Oryzias latipes: one gene and its partners. The main gene of each other region encodes a partner of the protein of the gene in region 4 in a complex. Links are inferred from orthologs where the notes say so. Each region holds a gene or a part of one and is shown on either strand. Other genes may lie near its edges.

Region 1 (3,036 bases), on a different chromosome or scaffold from region 4:
AATGTAAAGCTCGTTTCTGCATCGTAAAATGGTTCATGAGGGGTTGAGTGATTCAGACGGAGCACGACTGAAGGCCCAGGTGTGTAATACACGGTCCGCCACTGATTTCAAGTGGTAGGGGTGTGGCCTTCCAACAAGGTCACTCCTGATTGGTGAGAGTGGTTCCATGGACACAATGACTGACGCTGTCTGGTTCCAACATCCGTATCACAAAAAGATGGCAGAACTAAACCATTTTCTATGGGTAACGTCCCACTCACGCTCCAGCGCTCATGTTCACTTTCTGTCTTACCATTTTGTGGACTCAAAACCAACCAAACCTCTCTTATAAAAATAACTAAAAAAGGAGCAAGTATGAGAAAAAAATGAATCCACTGTCAGTTTGCAAAAAGTAAGTGAAGTGTTTCAACAGCAAGTCGTCTAAATCCACAGAACTTCAGATGGTTGAGCTCAGATGTGCTTTATGTACCTGACATTCACAGAAATCTGTGAGCACCAACTGAAGTTTTGCAAACGTTTCACTTTTATTTACAGCCTTCAACTTCTTTCTGTACACACCTGATATAATCTGAAGGCAAACATTGATAAGTCATTTTACACAAAAATGCACTGTCATCACTTCTGTGTTTGTTTAGGCTCATGTGATTCCATTCAAAAAGAAATCTACAGCTGAACAAAAGCAACACCTGTTGCTCACATTTGTCCTTTTTAACAACTAGTGCTTTAAAAATAATCCCAAATTATAAAAAGGTTCAAAGCCCTGTTGCTCGTCTATGGATGTGTTTCCAGCTGGCTTCTCAGAGTCGGGTGTCCTGAACTTCATCCTCAGCTTCCTCTGGCAGTGAGGAGATCTTGGTGGTCTGTGGCAGGGGCCTCTTGGTGGAGTTGAGACGGTGGAGCATTGGGAAACGGTGCTGGTCTGCAGGGCTTATAGCCTGTCTCAGGTGGGCCACCTCACTCATGAGTTTCTGAATGGACTCATAGTTTTTCAAGGCACCATTCTCGACCATCTGCAGAGGAGGGAGGCATGAGAAGCTGTTTACCTCAGGAAAGGATACACTTGTGTCAACCATTTGCTTTTATTAACTTGCCAGCTGTGGCTAAGAATAATGCAATAATAACTGATTCAGTGAATCAATTTGTTGTTATTGATGCTTAGAGATTGTCTACATGGCTTTCTTATTTGCCCATTAAGCATAGGAAACATGCAGCAATTGAGTTTGACAGAGCATTTCTTGTTTTGATCAAATCTGTTGACTCTCATGGATCCATGTCACTTCAAGTCCTGGGTAATCCCCTACCGGCAGCTCGGCCCCCATCCCAAACAAACACATGTCTACACCTAAAACATGGGGGTGGTTCATGTTGATTCTCGTTCTATAATCACAGATATTTAAAATGTGGCTCATGGATTTTCTGCATCACTATAAAGAAGCAGAGTGATCATCCTAGATCAACATAAAAAGAAGAAAAGTGATCATCCTTCATCTCTACGCAAAGAAGCACATTGATTATCCTGAAACTTTATACAAAAGAACCTGAGTTATCATATCCCTAAGATAAAGCTGATCCTAGATCTCTAAAATTAAGCAGATTAATCATCCCGCATTTCTATAAAAATAAAAAAGTGATCATCCTGCATCTCTAATAAGAAGTGGAATGATCATTTTAGATTACTAAAAAAAGAAGCAGAGTAATCATCTTTCATTTCTATAAAATAAAGCAGAGTGATCATCCTAGATCTGTATCACATGAAGTTATCATCCTGTATTGCTATGAAATGAAACAGAGTGATCATCCTGCAGTTCTACACTAAAAAGTGGAGCGATAATCCTTAATCTTTACTAAAAGCAGAGAAGCGATCACTCTAGATCTCTATAAATTGTTATTTTGTTGCAGTTGTTGCTGTTTCTACAATTTGTACAATTTACAATAAAAAAAAAATCGACAACGGCGGGTTGCATAAGGAATCAGGCATTTGCAGTTGACCACCTATTTTTTGTATATATTTTATTATTATTAGATTATTTCTGAATGTCGTTTTTTTGCTGCCACAGATATATGAAATTTCCCCATCTATCTATCTATCTATCTATCTATCTATCTATCTATCTATCTATCTATCTATCTATCTATCTATCTATCTATCTATCTATCTATCTATCTATCTATCTATCTATCTATCTATCTATCTATCTATCTATCTATCTATCTATCTATCTATCTATCTATCTATCTATCTATCTATCTATCTATCTATCTATCTACCTACCTACCTACCTACCTACCTACCTACCTACCTACCTACCTACCTACCTACCTACCTACCTACCTACCTACCTACCTACCTACCTACCTACCTACCTACCTACCTACCTACCTACCTACCTACCTACCTACCTACCTACCTACCTACCTACCTACCTACCTACCTACCTACCTACCTACCTACCTACCTATCTACCTATCTACCTATCTATCTATCTATCTATCTATCTATCATCTAAAAAAAGCAGCGTGAATATCCCGTATCTCTAAAAAAAGAAGCACGATCATCCTAAGTCTCTATTAAAAAAAGAGAAATAATAATCACGTCTCTGAAAAGAAGCGTGGAGATCATCTGTCAGAGACTCACAAGGAACGACTGACACTCCAGCAGAGGCTCCACTCTGTGCTCCGACAGGATGACGGTGCAGTTGGAGAAGGACTGCTTTAGGGTCTTCCTCAGGATCACCAGAGTTCTGTTCACATACACACACATCAATACGGAAGGCCACGGACACATCAGACATTAGAAGAATCATTTAACATCTCTGCTCACACACTTCACAAACAAAGAGCTCCAAGTTCCTGGAAGGACTAGATTGTCACCAGGTGCACTGGAATCTGCAGGGTCATCTTTGTATTTTATTAAATATGTTTGAAACCAAAACATGCAACCAGGCTGTACATGTGAGTGTAAACTTATGTTTAGTGATCTGCACTGAAACTCCAACACATCCTGGTCTCCATTCGAAGAGGCCTAAATGAACTTTC
Region 2 (2,764 bases), on a different chromosome or scaffold from region 4:
CTGGATGTAGTAGTTTTTGTTCCAGGGTGTATTCATTTTTGCTTCAACCAATTTAAGCAAAACTGAAGATTATGTGATCTAAGATAGATCATTAACCTTTATTTCATGTAATAGAATTAAAGAAGTGTTCAATAAAACTATAACTTGTGGAAAGTTTGGAAATTTTTCTTTTGTTCATTGAGTTACTGATTAAATTAATACTTATTAAAGTGGGTGTAGTCATTTATGCTGAGCACTTTAAATTTCACTTTTTACCTTATTTTCCCAAGTTTGAAACCAACCAAAATAAACTTAAAACATTCTCAGACTACATAGATTGAAAAAATAAGACAATCTCAATAATTAGAAACAGCTTTTTTTCACGTTGAAGAAATGTTTGTAAAAAGATTTCCTCTTTAGGACATGTCGACATAGAAATCTATTCTTTCCTGGCTCCTTTTTCAGTTATAAAAAGATCACACAATCATGTTCTGACAGGTATTGAGGTTCATGTTCCTACAGGCAGATTAGGATGTATTCTCAAACACAATAAAGACAGTAAGTGACATTTCTTTTCAGAACAGTTTGAAAAATGTTTTCTTTGATCACAATTTTTTTTATTTAGCTGAAACACAACTGATGTGCTCATTACTGGGTAAAAATGATTTGCATCACAATTTGATGAACGTGGTTCGCAGTTCATGAATAAATGAAGCTCTGAATAGCAAATGGGACCAACTTACAAATTCTCTGACCTTTGAGAGAAGCAAAGCCGCAGATCATGTCCGACCGCTGAGGCAGTTTAATCCTTTGCCTCCCTGTGCTCGCTCTCTGCCTGCCGTCTGCGTCCCCCTGCTCCTCCCTCCCAGCATCCCGCTGTTCACAGGTTGGCGAAAAGGTCCTCGCCGGCCCATCTATCTGCTCCACGCCACAGTCCATCTCATCTGGTAGGATAAAAAAAGCTTAAGTTCAGGCAATGCCAAATTAAAATGGGCAAAAAATAAAAAGTTTTGCAAGCTGAACACAATTTTTAGTTGGCAAAATGTTAATCAGTAAAGCTAGAAAGTACTAGAATGAAAGTTTTTAAAAATACATATATGTTTGCATCCATCTGTTTTCCAACACTCTATTCCTCTAGCATAAATCCCAGCAAGTTAAAGACAAAGCTTTACCAAATCTTGAGCAAACATCCTCCTTTTTTACCTCCTCTGCAGGCCTGAATGAAAAACATTTTTGGTTTGTTTTGCAGCAGCGGGCAATGTGCGTTGTCGAAGGCCTCAAACACCCAGTCCAGCTGAAAACGACAAGTTTACATTTAAAATAAACAAACGCGGCTTCTTTGCTGTTTAAAGTCATAAAGCATACAGCAAAAAATATAAGATAAGCTCACCGCCAGCTGCTGCCCATCCGTGCCATAAATGGCTCCATCCACGCCGTGGGAAAGCAGACACACCACACAGCTATCAACTTTCTGGTGATCTGGTCGTCTGCAGAAGTTCTCAATGACCATCTTCATGTCCTGGAGAAAAAATAAAGGATGGTAGTTGCTACACAGGAGCTTAAAAGTCCTGCTATTTCATTGTCTGTTTTTTTTAATAGAAAAACTAAATAAAAAAACTCTCCACAAAAGCATTTAATGTGTTAAAGCTTGTCAAAGTTTTCCTAACCAATCCAAACTAGTTTTTCTCTCCAAACTGGTAAAAAAAAAGAATAAATGAAACAAAAAACTTAAATATTTGAAGCTACAACTTGTGACAGATTTGCAGCGTCACTTAAATGTCTGCACCAAAGCATACTGATAAAATATATGACTTTACAACTCATTTATGCTGCGAGAGTCTCACCTGAGCGGTCAGGTCTCTGTGGAAATTTACTGAATAGTCCAGCTCAGTGAAGAGCTTCCTGAGGACCTCGTCGTCCACCTCACCTCCCTTCCTTGGGTCAAGCTCAGGGGCAGCACGGGGGTCAAAGTTGATGTTACTGATCACCAAGACTGAACCCCGAGGAGAAGAATTCATCCTGTAAGACTTCAGTCAGAAGAGCAGAAGCACGCAGAGAATAAGCAACGTGAGGGAATGTAACACGATGAAACAACCCGCTGCTGGTCAGCGATCTACCTGTTGACAGTGAGACAGGTAAAAGTCAGCTGAGCATGCCAGAACGGGGGTGTTGATGGGACTGTCAGCATCGAGACTGGACTCCATGGACTCTGTGGTGAAGACATACAAACACATAACAAAGGAACAGATTAACGTTACTATTTAGGAAGCTCACAGACTTTGTGCTGGAAGGCTGTGAATGAGTCACCCCTGGGGTGTGGTGTTTGTACTTAATACAAACAAGTACCTGCACTTTTCTCATTACAGTCTGAAAAATTGGAGACACTATAAAGTCTGTTACCAGTTGGGATCCCAAAGACCCCATCGTCAGGGAGCTGCTGGCTCCAAAACATTTGTTTTTTTGCTCAGTTTTAGGCCACTGTATGTCTAAAAAAACGAACGCATGACAGTGAAACTCACCGAGAGTCTTTGCTCTCTTCGGAGCAAACTCCTCCTGAGTTGGATATGGCAAAGAAGATCCTGATATCTGAAAGATGAGACAAAAAATGGCTGATTAAACAAATTAATCTGGTAGAGAAGGGTTTTGATGTCTGATGAGGGCGGCAGCAGTTTTTCGGCGTGATGATCTTTCATTTGAATGTATTACAGTAATCTACTGTCAGATTTTTCAGCAACTCAGCAGGCGCACTGGGTGAGGAATAAAAGGCAGACACAGAGCGGGATTC
Region 3 (3,500 bases), on a different chromosome or scaffold from region 4:
TAAAACATGGGAGAGGAAGCATCATGCTTTGGTGTTGCTTTTCTGCGAAGGAGAAAGATCGACTGTTCCATATTAATAAAAGAATGAATGGAGAAAATTGGAGCAAAAACCTCCTTCCATCAGTGAAAGCATAGAGTTTGAAATGTCAATGGATATTCCAGCAGGACAATGAGCGCCAAACGGGTTGCCGGACAATGATGGAGTGGCTACATAAAAAGTATTTCACGCTTCTGGAGAGGTCTAGTCAGTCCCTGGACTTCATTCTAATAGAGAATCTGTGGAGGGAGTGGAAAGTCGGTGTTGCCCAGCAACATTGCTGCTCTTGAGAAGATCTGCACGGAAGAATGGGCCTAAATAGAAGCTACAGTTCAGAACAACAGGAAACTTTTTACCTTTGTCCTTACCAAACAGTTACATTACAATATATTGAGGTGAACCTTTGTTAAAGATCATAATCTTACTTTCCATACAAAAAAATACAGTTGAAGTGTTTCTATGTACAGGCCAAAACTTAACGGTCTTGTTAAAAAGATAGTTACCATTTTCTTAAAATCACATCCACTTCTGCATCATGACTTCTGTTTGCTGCTACAGGTTTATTATTTTGCGGGCTCATTGTATGTGTGTAACTACCACACCACACCCGTTTATAAATGTAAAAAATACTGGGAACTGTTTTTTCACAGCTCTTTTCACAAACAGCGGAAATGTGACTCAGATGATTTAAAAATCCACCAGTATAGATCTGTTAGGGATTCATCAAAAGGATGAATCACACATTTAAACCACTTTTAATCAACAGACTGGGCGCAAAAAGGGTCATAATGGACTCACAATACTCGATTCCTCTCAGCAAATCCTGGAAGTAAAAACGGGCCTGGTCTTCACCGAACGGTTTATCGGTGGGCACCTCCATTACAGCCCTGGAGAAACATCAGTTAGCAATCATAACTACCAAGAGGGAGTATTATTGCAGTTTTACCATTTCTTCAACAGGATAGGCTGTGCTCACCCTTTTTTCACCAACTCAAACACTGACAAAAACACAGAAGAAATGAATGTTAGTTAGAGGTTGCACTGGTTTCTCAAAAGCAGTCTTTGAAAAAGATTTGTCTAGTTTGAAGTACAGAGAGTCCAGCCAAAGCATACCCATGTACAGATGGTCTTCACTGGGGTCATCCAAAACCTGGCACAGAGTCACAGAGGGAGAGAGAATACTCAATAACATCTACCCAGAATCCTGTTCAATCCTGTTCATTCCTCCAGAGGAATATGTTATTCTGATGATATATAAATAGAGCATGGCTGCATTGATTAAATGTAAGTTTTCACTTTAGCTTTTTAACATACAGGACAAAAATGGTAGCTTTTAACATGGTTAAATGACTCACCTCAACGAGTTTAACAACATTAGGATGGTCCAGTTTTTTGAGAATGGCTATCTCCTGATAAACCCGCTCGAGCGGGCCTTTGGGCTGAGTCGGACCCTCAGGGAGGGCTCGGGCGCCGCGAGGAGCTGGTCTTCCTGAAAAACGTCACAACAAGATGACAGGTGGGGAGGAGCGTGACCTTCAGCATGTGTGCATAGTGTCTCAGGAGCGTTTAATGCATCTGCCCCTTTACTTACGTGGGAACCCTGCCTGCCTCATCAGCTTCTTCTTCGACAACACTTTCATCGCCTGCAAAGAAAAGGGGAAAATGAGTGAGCCAGGAAAAAGAAAATTAACAAAACTGACTTTCAAAACGTCACAGTTCAGTTTCCATTAAAATGTTGGTTTCATGAGCCTCAGGCTGTGGACAAACTGCAAAATGTTTCCACCAATTTTTCCCATCATTCCCTGTTGGACAAAGTTGCACCCATCAGCTCTAGTTTGGAAGATTTGACCCAAAAGTATAATCAACACACCTGGAAATATGTGACCAGAATTTAGGTTAAATAACAGAGGAAATCTTAAAACAATCATTGGTGAACAGAAAGGCAAACAGGCAAATCTTTAGTCTTTCAAAAATACCTAAAGGCTGTAAAAGTGGGTCTCCAGCTTTTGGGATTTAAAGCTCTGATTAAAAAGCTGAACGGTTATTAAGTCTGCACTCTCAGCAGAAACAATACCGGTAGCTAACATCAGTTGGTAAATAATCAAACCCGCATGGAAATCCACTCAATTAGTCAAAGTTCTTCTTCTTCATCTCCCTCAACAATCACGAAAGCCGCATGATAGATTTTAATAGGGCTGCGTGTCGCGTTAAGTGAGGAGTTTTATAATTGCTAGCAAAAAGACACTTTGTATGCTTTATCGAGATTTTTCATTTTAAGAAGTTGATTTATTTGAATAGTCGAAAAAAAAAATCCACAAAACATAGACCTACTCTGATAAAAAACTATGTTTTTGGTGTTTTTCTTATTTCCCAGGAGAATCAGTTAAAAAGTTGTCAAAATATTATTTAATTTAAACGGATGTATAAAGCCAAACAAATTAGTTTTTACAAACTTGACTGTTGAATGGAATGTTTGGAATGCATGTATTAAATGAATGGAATGTGTTTACTGTGTATTTGAACTGTATATTGTGAAATCCGAGCACAGGTGATGGATGCAATGTTTAAAAGGGAGCAGATAATTATAAGAATTGTATTTTTCAATTCTGCTCCCTTCTAATCATGAAAATGTTCAACATGTGAGACAAACATGTAAACATTTGGACATCAATTTTCATGAAAGGAACAAATAAACTTTCATTTCTAAGCATTTCTTTCTTTAAGTTGTTGTGAATCAGGAGCAGAAGCTGCGATGGGCGGACCAAAGTCTCCCAACTCCACTCCATTCTCTCTTGTAGACAAATAGATCCATGAACGTCTTGGTTTTCCTTTTCTGGGCTTGAATCTGGCTCAGAACTGTACGGCTGGATGGCTCCAATATTGCTCACTACTTTTGTTGCACCTGTAATATTAGGCTGGGAGTGTGAGGGGCTGTAAGCTAGCAGGAGAACATGTAAACAGAGTTCTCAGCAATGGGAAAAGCAAAAGGGGCGGGGTTACACCACACTAACGGTCCCACCCACAACTGTAAGGCAAATTTCTAGTAAACTACTGCAGTTTATTAGGACCTCTGATCTGAAGAAAGTCGGAGTGGGTCTTTAAAGCATTAGTTAGCGATGTTGGAGTGTAATAGCTGAAGTAAACCTGAGACAGAACAAACCTTTACAGATGCGTTTAATCTGGTGCGTGTGGGGAAAGAAACTCACATAATATGTGTTGTCATCCTCATTGTAAGCCAGCTTCACAACACCATAGGAGCCCTGAGAAGAGAAAGGAAACAACAAAGACCGGCAACTGAGACTGACGAGGATAAAAAAGCAGCAAACCCACTTTAGACAAATCAAAATCCGGAATGATGAGCAATGTGAGTGGGATGAAGGTTCACAATGAAAAGAGAACAATTACTAAAGCAAGAAATGAGAAATTTGAATTTGTTCTGTTTCAACTATTCAGTTTGTGCTTTT
Region 4 (4,231 bases):
CACAAGCTCCCTGCTCTGCGCTATTGCAATGCATCTACTTGCAGACGAATACATCCATTGACTTTTACTTTTTTTCTCGTCTGAGATGGAATCTGGCAAGAGACGGTACGGCTGAATAGCTCCAATATTGCTCGCCATTTTTGTTGCACCGCTAGCGTTAGCTTGGGGTTGTAAGTTAGTGGGAGAAGTGTAACCACACCCAACACCGAGCAAACTTCTAATGAACCACTGCCACTCTGCAGAAACTATGTCCTAGAAACGGACACAGAATTTTTTTTTTTAATTATTTTGCCCCAAAACAGTATAATGATAATTAAAAAAACACTGGAAATTTTTTTTTAAATAGATTAAAAATGACTGGAGTGGGACTTTAAAGCTTGAATGCTGACAAACACATGATACTATGAGCAAAAAAGGCAAAGGTCGCCTTTTAATTAAACCTTGTCTATGTAACAGAATTAACATCTAGTTTCAAGACTTTGACTTTTGTTCAAGTTAACCCATAGCTGTGTTCAGCTTCAAAACTATAGTGGGGGTAAAAAAGCAGTTTCTTCCTCAAGATCAGGATGTTTCAGCAAAATATAAAATCACCATGAGAAAAAAGTTATTCTGATTTAGTTCAAATTCAGAACTCAAATGAAAAACAAAACCCAAAAGAAATTGCCAACAATATTTAAATAATCGGAAAGTGGCGTGAGATTCTGGCAAAGCCTCCCCATGGCGCGGTGGCAGTTGTATTTGTGAATGTAGCATTACTGGCATTGTTCCAACACTTCTACGGCTGTACAGTAATCCCCCGCCCATTCGCGGTTTAATATTCGCGCCCCGCCCATTCGCGGGTGGCCACAGATGACGTGACGTCAGAAGCATGAGGCACAGAACAGCGCTCAGTCCGCAAATTTTGAAAAACGATTTACTCTGTACTTTACTGTAAAGTATTGTTTACGCGTTTAAGATGCCATCCAAACACCCTGCATCATCTCCAGCTTCTGGAAATGAACCCAAACGGCAGAAAAAGGTTCTGACTCTGCAGAGGCTCTGGCTCTGGGAGTTTTAAAACAGCGTCAATCATTCGCGGATTTTTGTTATTCGCAGGGGGTGAGGAACGTAACCCCCGCGAATACGGGGGGATTACTGTATAGCAAAAAAACTGATTGGATTTCTTTGGAACCGGAAGCAAGTAATTTGCTCTAAGTAACATCACACTTCCTATACAGTCAATGGTTTGGAAACAAAGGGGGCTTTCGGAAAGCTGAAGCCCTGGAAATCACAGCCGTTTTACACGGCCATGCCCACAAGCCTGGCCCACTATCCCCCATGTACGGAGCGTTACATCATTGGCACAGACACCCACCTTCCCGAGTGATGACGCAGCCCATGGAGGAGAAGCAGGAGGAGGAGGAATGTGAGAGGGTGGGGGTGAGGAGAGGGTGTCCCGTCTGCGCGCAGCTCAGTCAGACAGCAGAGAGCAGCTGCAGCAGAAGGCTCGTGTTAAGTTTCACTGCATTGCGATTTCAAATATCGATTATTTTACCCACATAAGCCACCCGAATAAGCTTGACTAGGCAACCAAATATCATAGAAGAAAATGGTTGATCGCGAGCAGCTGGTGCAGAAAGCCAGGCTGGCTGAACAGGCTGAGCGGTATGATGACATGGCAGCTGCTATGAAGTCGGTAAGTCACTTTCCAGAGAGGATGAAAATCGTGTGAGTGATGGTGAGTCTGCTGCGTCTGCGTAAAAACGCGCCACGGCTGTAAATCTGCGCGCACGCTGGCTCAATTTTACCGGCGCACTGATCCAAAAAATTCGAATTTAATCATAATTTGCTCCACAGTTGAGGCAATGTTGACACCTCACGTCCTCTTTTTTTTGGAAAATTATTTTTCATTTTTTACTCAGCAGTCGGGTCCAGACTTTCCGGTGTTTGGGCGGTGCCTCTGTCGGTTGTACATTTTATTGAAAGGGTATTAGAATGAAATGCATGCAAGCCCCACTATGCATCATCTGCCGCTCATCATATAATGGCCTTGCTCACTTCCATTAACTGCCCCCCCCCCCCCCTCTTGTAGTACCCCACCTCCTCTCCCTCCATTATGTTGAATTCATACAGTTGGAGCCTCTGCTACATCATGTGAGCTGCCTCCACCCCCATCCCCCATTCTCTTATACTTATCACTTAAATTATAACGATAATAATTACCCACAACTGCTCATGTTGATACAAGGCTTAAGGGCATTATCTGAGCATGATCACCTCAGGAAAAAGCCTCTCTAATCCTTCATTTCATCAAATAGGAGGCAGCACTAGAATATCTGCTGTCATATTGCAGAGACTTATTTCTATCCCAGACGTTTTAGACTCTCGTCTGTGCTCGTGTCCGTCCTGAGTGTGTCAGGGCTGAAATCCAGGGGCGATTTAAAGTTATTTCAGGGGGACGACCCTGATTGAGCAGTGCAATATATGATGGGAAGAGGATGACATGGCTGGCTTGCCACACATTAGCTCTCTCAGCTCTTATTGGCTGCTCAGGACTAAGTCTTTGTCTGCTTTTTCTTCCTCTTTCCCCCTCCCTCTCTCCTTTGGGGCCCTTAAGAAATTTTGACACCGGATGCACCGGTGGGCATTAAGAACTGCTGTGTCACACCAGCTCACAGTGAAACCAGCAGCATCCAGACTTGCCAGTCCATGCCCAGATAAAGAGCCCGGCACGGGAGGAACATTGTGTCTTAATGCCCCTGTAGAACATCAGAGCCTATTTGGATCGTTTGCCATGAAGGGTTTCTGGTTGCAGGTGGTGAGGAGGGATTCCTTTGCCTTTCTTGATTCTTTTGAAGAAGAGGTGGGATGGGGTGGCGGTGAGGGGTGCCCTTTTATTCGAAGGGAATCCCTTGCCACTGCATCCACAAATGACAAATGAGAGGCTGTCACCTTCGTGTTCCTCATGAAAAATGCAACGCTGCTCTTCGTGGTTATCAATTAAAGAAATGGCCTTCACAAATCAGCTTCGACCAGCAGCGTGAAACCAGAAAAATCAATCCAATTGTTAAAAAAAAAAAATTTTTTCTTGACACCAGCAAATATTTCCTTCGTCATTCAAATAACGGATGGGCCACTCTTAATGACCTTGTTGTAACCCTTCAATAATGACAATTGAACGCCAAAATGTTTGATGTACGCCGAGCATAGCTGCAGTTCCAGCAGTGATCGCTGCAATCATTAAATTTTAAGTGCTCCTCTGTTCGTGCGCTCTACAAAAATTATTATCAGATCAATATGAATCTGCTTCATTTCATAGCGAAAGCCTCACAGTTGTCGCCTGCGGTCAAATCGGATCATTGCGTGTGCATTTTTGGACAGGCCCTGTGAAGGCAATTCCATCTGTGCCAATTTAGTGACGTCACGTGTGCCATCTTTACGCCCCTCTGACTGAACAGAGAAAAATTGAAAGCGTTGGTATAGTACAGCTGAATATCAGTGTGTCTTTCCTGCATATGTAACAGCCGTTTTTGAAAACTCCATCGATCTATGCCAGCACAGAGCGCCTCTTCCAATCATTTACCCAGAGTGGTATGACCTCTGTGCAGTCATACTGATCCATCCAGATCCAAAATTATCTGTCCGAGTCAGAGTGATGTCACATCACGGAGCTTAAAACAGGTAAAAAGGTCACTTAGAGCCGAAGAGAAGGTCAGTGGGACACGTGCAGTGACAGTTTTCATTTACACTGCAGCTGCCCTTGAGTCCTTGTGGGAACATTTCTGTCTCCATCCTTCTCGTGCCCCCCCCTCACTGGAGCAATCTAAGTACAATATAATTTCTCACTAGCTAGCATTAGATGTACACGTGGCAGCTGGAGCTACTGATGTCTAAATGAATGGATTGCCATGGAAACTAGGAATTGGACAAGCCCAATCTCACTCATTCGCGTCACTGCAGACGACACTGACCGAATGATAGAAGGATGGATCCTTTCTCCGGATGAGCCAAACTAATTGTCATTGTGCAATGATTCCATTGTTTTCTTTCATTGCTTTACAAATGTAGTTTGTGGGCCTCAGGAGAAATTCTTTAAGTGCATCCCTATAGAGTGATTTGCCGTCATTGCAATCAGACTGGAAGGGGAAGATGAGTTAGCTGTTTTATAACAGATTGTTCTTAGCAAATTTATTTCAACAGTTTTTAAAAGATAGAAAAAAGCCTTCCCTTTTTTAATATTTCGTGAAAGATT

What was found. Proteins that work in one complex are often made in the same cells at the same time.
Region 1: the proteins of ywhag (region 4) and cftr are in contact, whole or in part, in a crystal structure (PDB 5D3E), measured with the Homo sapiens proteins. The link is inferred for Oryzias latipes from reciprocal best matches to the Homo sapiens genes YWHAG and CFTR. Residues at the interface, in NP_036611.2 of Homo sapiens: Lys50, Arg57, Arg61, Lys125, Arg132, Tyr133, Leu177, Asn178, Val181, Glu185, Ile222, Leu225, Asn229, Leu232; in NP_000483.3 of Homo sapiens: Arg766, Gln767, Ser768, Val769, Leu770.
Region 2: the proteins of ywhag (region 4) and casp2 are in contact, whole or in part, in a crystal structure (PDB 6S9K), measured with the Homo sapiens proteins. The link is inferred for Oryzias latipes from reciprocal best matches to the Homo sapiens genes YWHAG and CASP2. Residues at the interface, in NP_036611.2 of Homo sapiens: Glu15, Asn43, Val47, Arg57, Arg61, Lys125, Arg132, Tyr133, Pro170, Gly174, Leu177, Asn178, Val181, Glu185, Glu213, Asp214, Lys217, Asp218, Leu221, Ile222, Leu225, Asn229, Leu232, Trp233; in NP_116764.2 of Homo sapiens: Asp137, Leu138, Ser139, Leu140, Pro141, Phe142, Pro143, Val144, Cys145, Glu146, Leu150, Lys152, Lys153, Leu154, Ser157.
Region 3: the proteins of ywhag (region 4) and calcium/calmodulin-dependent protein kinase kinase 2 are in contact, whole or in part, in a crystal structure (PDB 6Y6B), measured with the Homo sapiens proteins. The link is inferred for Oryzias latipes from reciprocal best matches to the Homo sapiens genes YWHAG and CAMKK2. Residues at the interface, in NP_036611.2 of Homo sapiens: Ser46, Val47, Lys50, Asn51, Arg57, Arg132, Tyr133, Gly174, Leu177, Asn178, Val181, Glu185, Ile222, Leu225, Asn229, Trp233; in NP_001257414.1 of Homo sapiens: Leu99, Ser100, Leu101, Gln102, Glu103, Arg104.

The regions. Positions count from the first base shown.
Region 1 is NC_019864.2:3,359,752-3,362,787, reverse strand, and holds the end of cftr (cystic fibrosis transmembrane conductance regulator), read right to left. Parts: intron 2,742-3,036; coding exon 2,636-2,741; intron 1,011-2,635; coding exon 798-1,010; 3' UTR 501-797; downstream 1-500. UniProt on the Homo sapiens protein: Epithelial ion channel that plays an important role in the regulation of epithelial ion and water transport and fluid homeostasis. Mediates the transport of chloride ions across the cell membrane.
Region 2 is NC_019874.2:20,112,259-20,115,022, reverse strand, and holds part of casp2 (caspase-2), read right to left. Parts: intron 2,566-2,764; coding exon 2,499-2,565; intron 2,189-2,498; coding exon 2,097-2,188; intron 2,007-2,096; coding exon 1,824-2,006; intron 1,499-1,823; coding exon 1,370-1,498; intron 1,274-1,369; coding exon 1,183-1,273; intron 924-1,182; coding exon 723-923; intron 1-722. UniProt on the Homo sapiens protein: Is a regulator of the cascade of caspases responsible for apoptosis execution. Might function by either activating some proteins required for cell death or inactivating proteins necessary for cell survival.
Region 3 is NC_019870.2:16,114,568-16,118,067, forward strand, and holds part of calcium/calmodulin-dependent protein kinase kinase 2, read right to left. Parts: intron 3,297-3,500; coding exon 3,243-3,296; intron 1,680-3,242; coding exon 1,628-1,679; intron 1,526-1,627; coding exon 1,392-1,525; intron 1,187-1,391; coding exon 1,150-1,186; intron 1,035-1,149; coding exon 1,013-1,034; intron 924-1,012; coding exon 835-923; intron 1-834. UniProt on the Homo sapiens protein: Calcium/calmodulin-dependent protein kinase belonging to a proposed calcium-triggered signaling cascade involved in a number of cellular processes. Isoform 1, isoform 2 and isoform 3 phosphorylate CAMK1 and CAMK4. Isoform 3 phosphorylates CAMK1D.
Region 4 is NC_019871.2:9,989,402-9,993,632, reverse strand, and holds the start of ywhag (14-3-3 protein gamma), read left to right. Parts: upstream 1-1,431; 5' UTR 1,432-1,588; coding exon 1,589-1,675; intron 1,676-4,231. UniProt on the Homo sapiens protein: Adapter protein implicated in the regulation of a large spectrum of both general and specialized signaling pathways. Binds to a large number of partners, usually by recognition of a phosphoserine or phosphothreonine motif.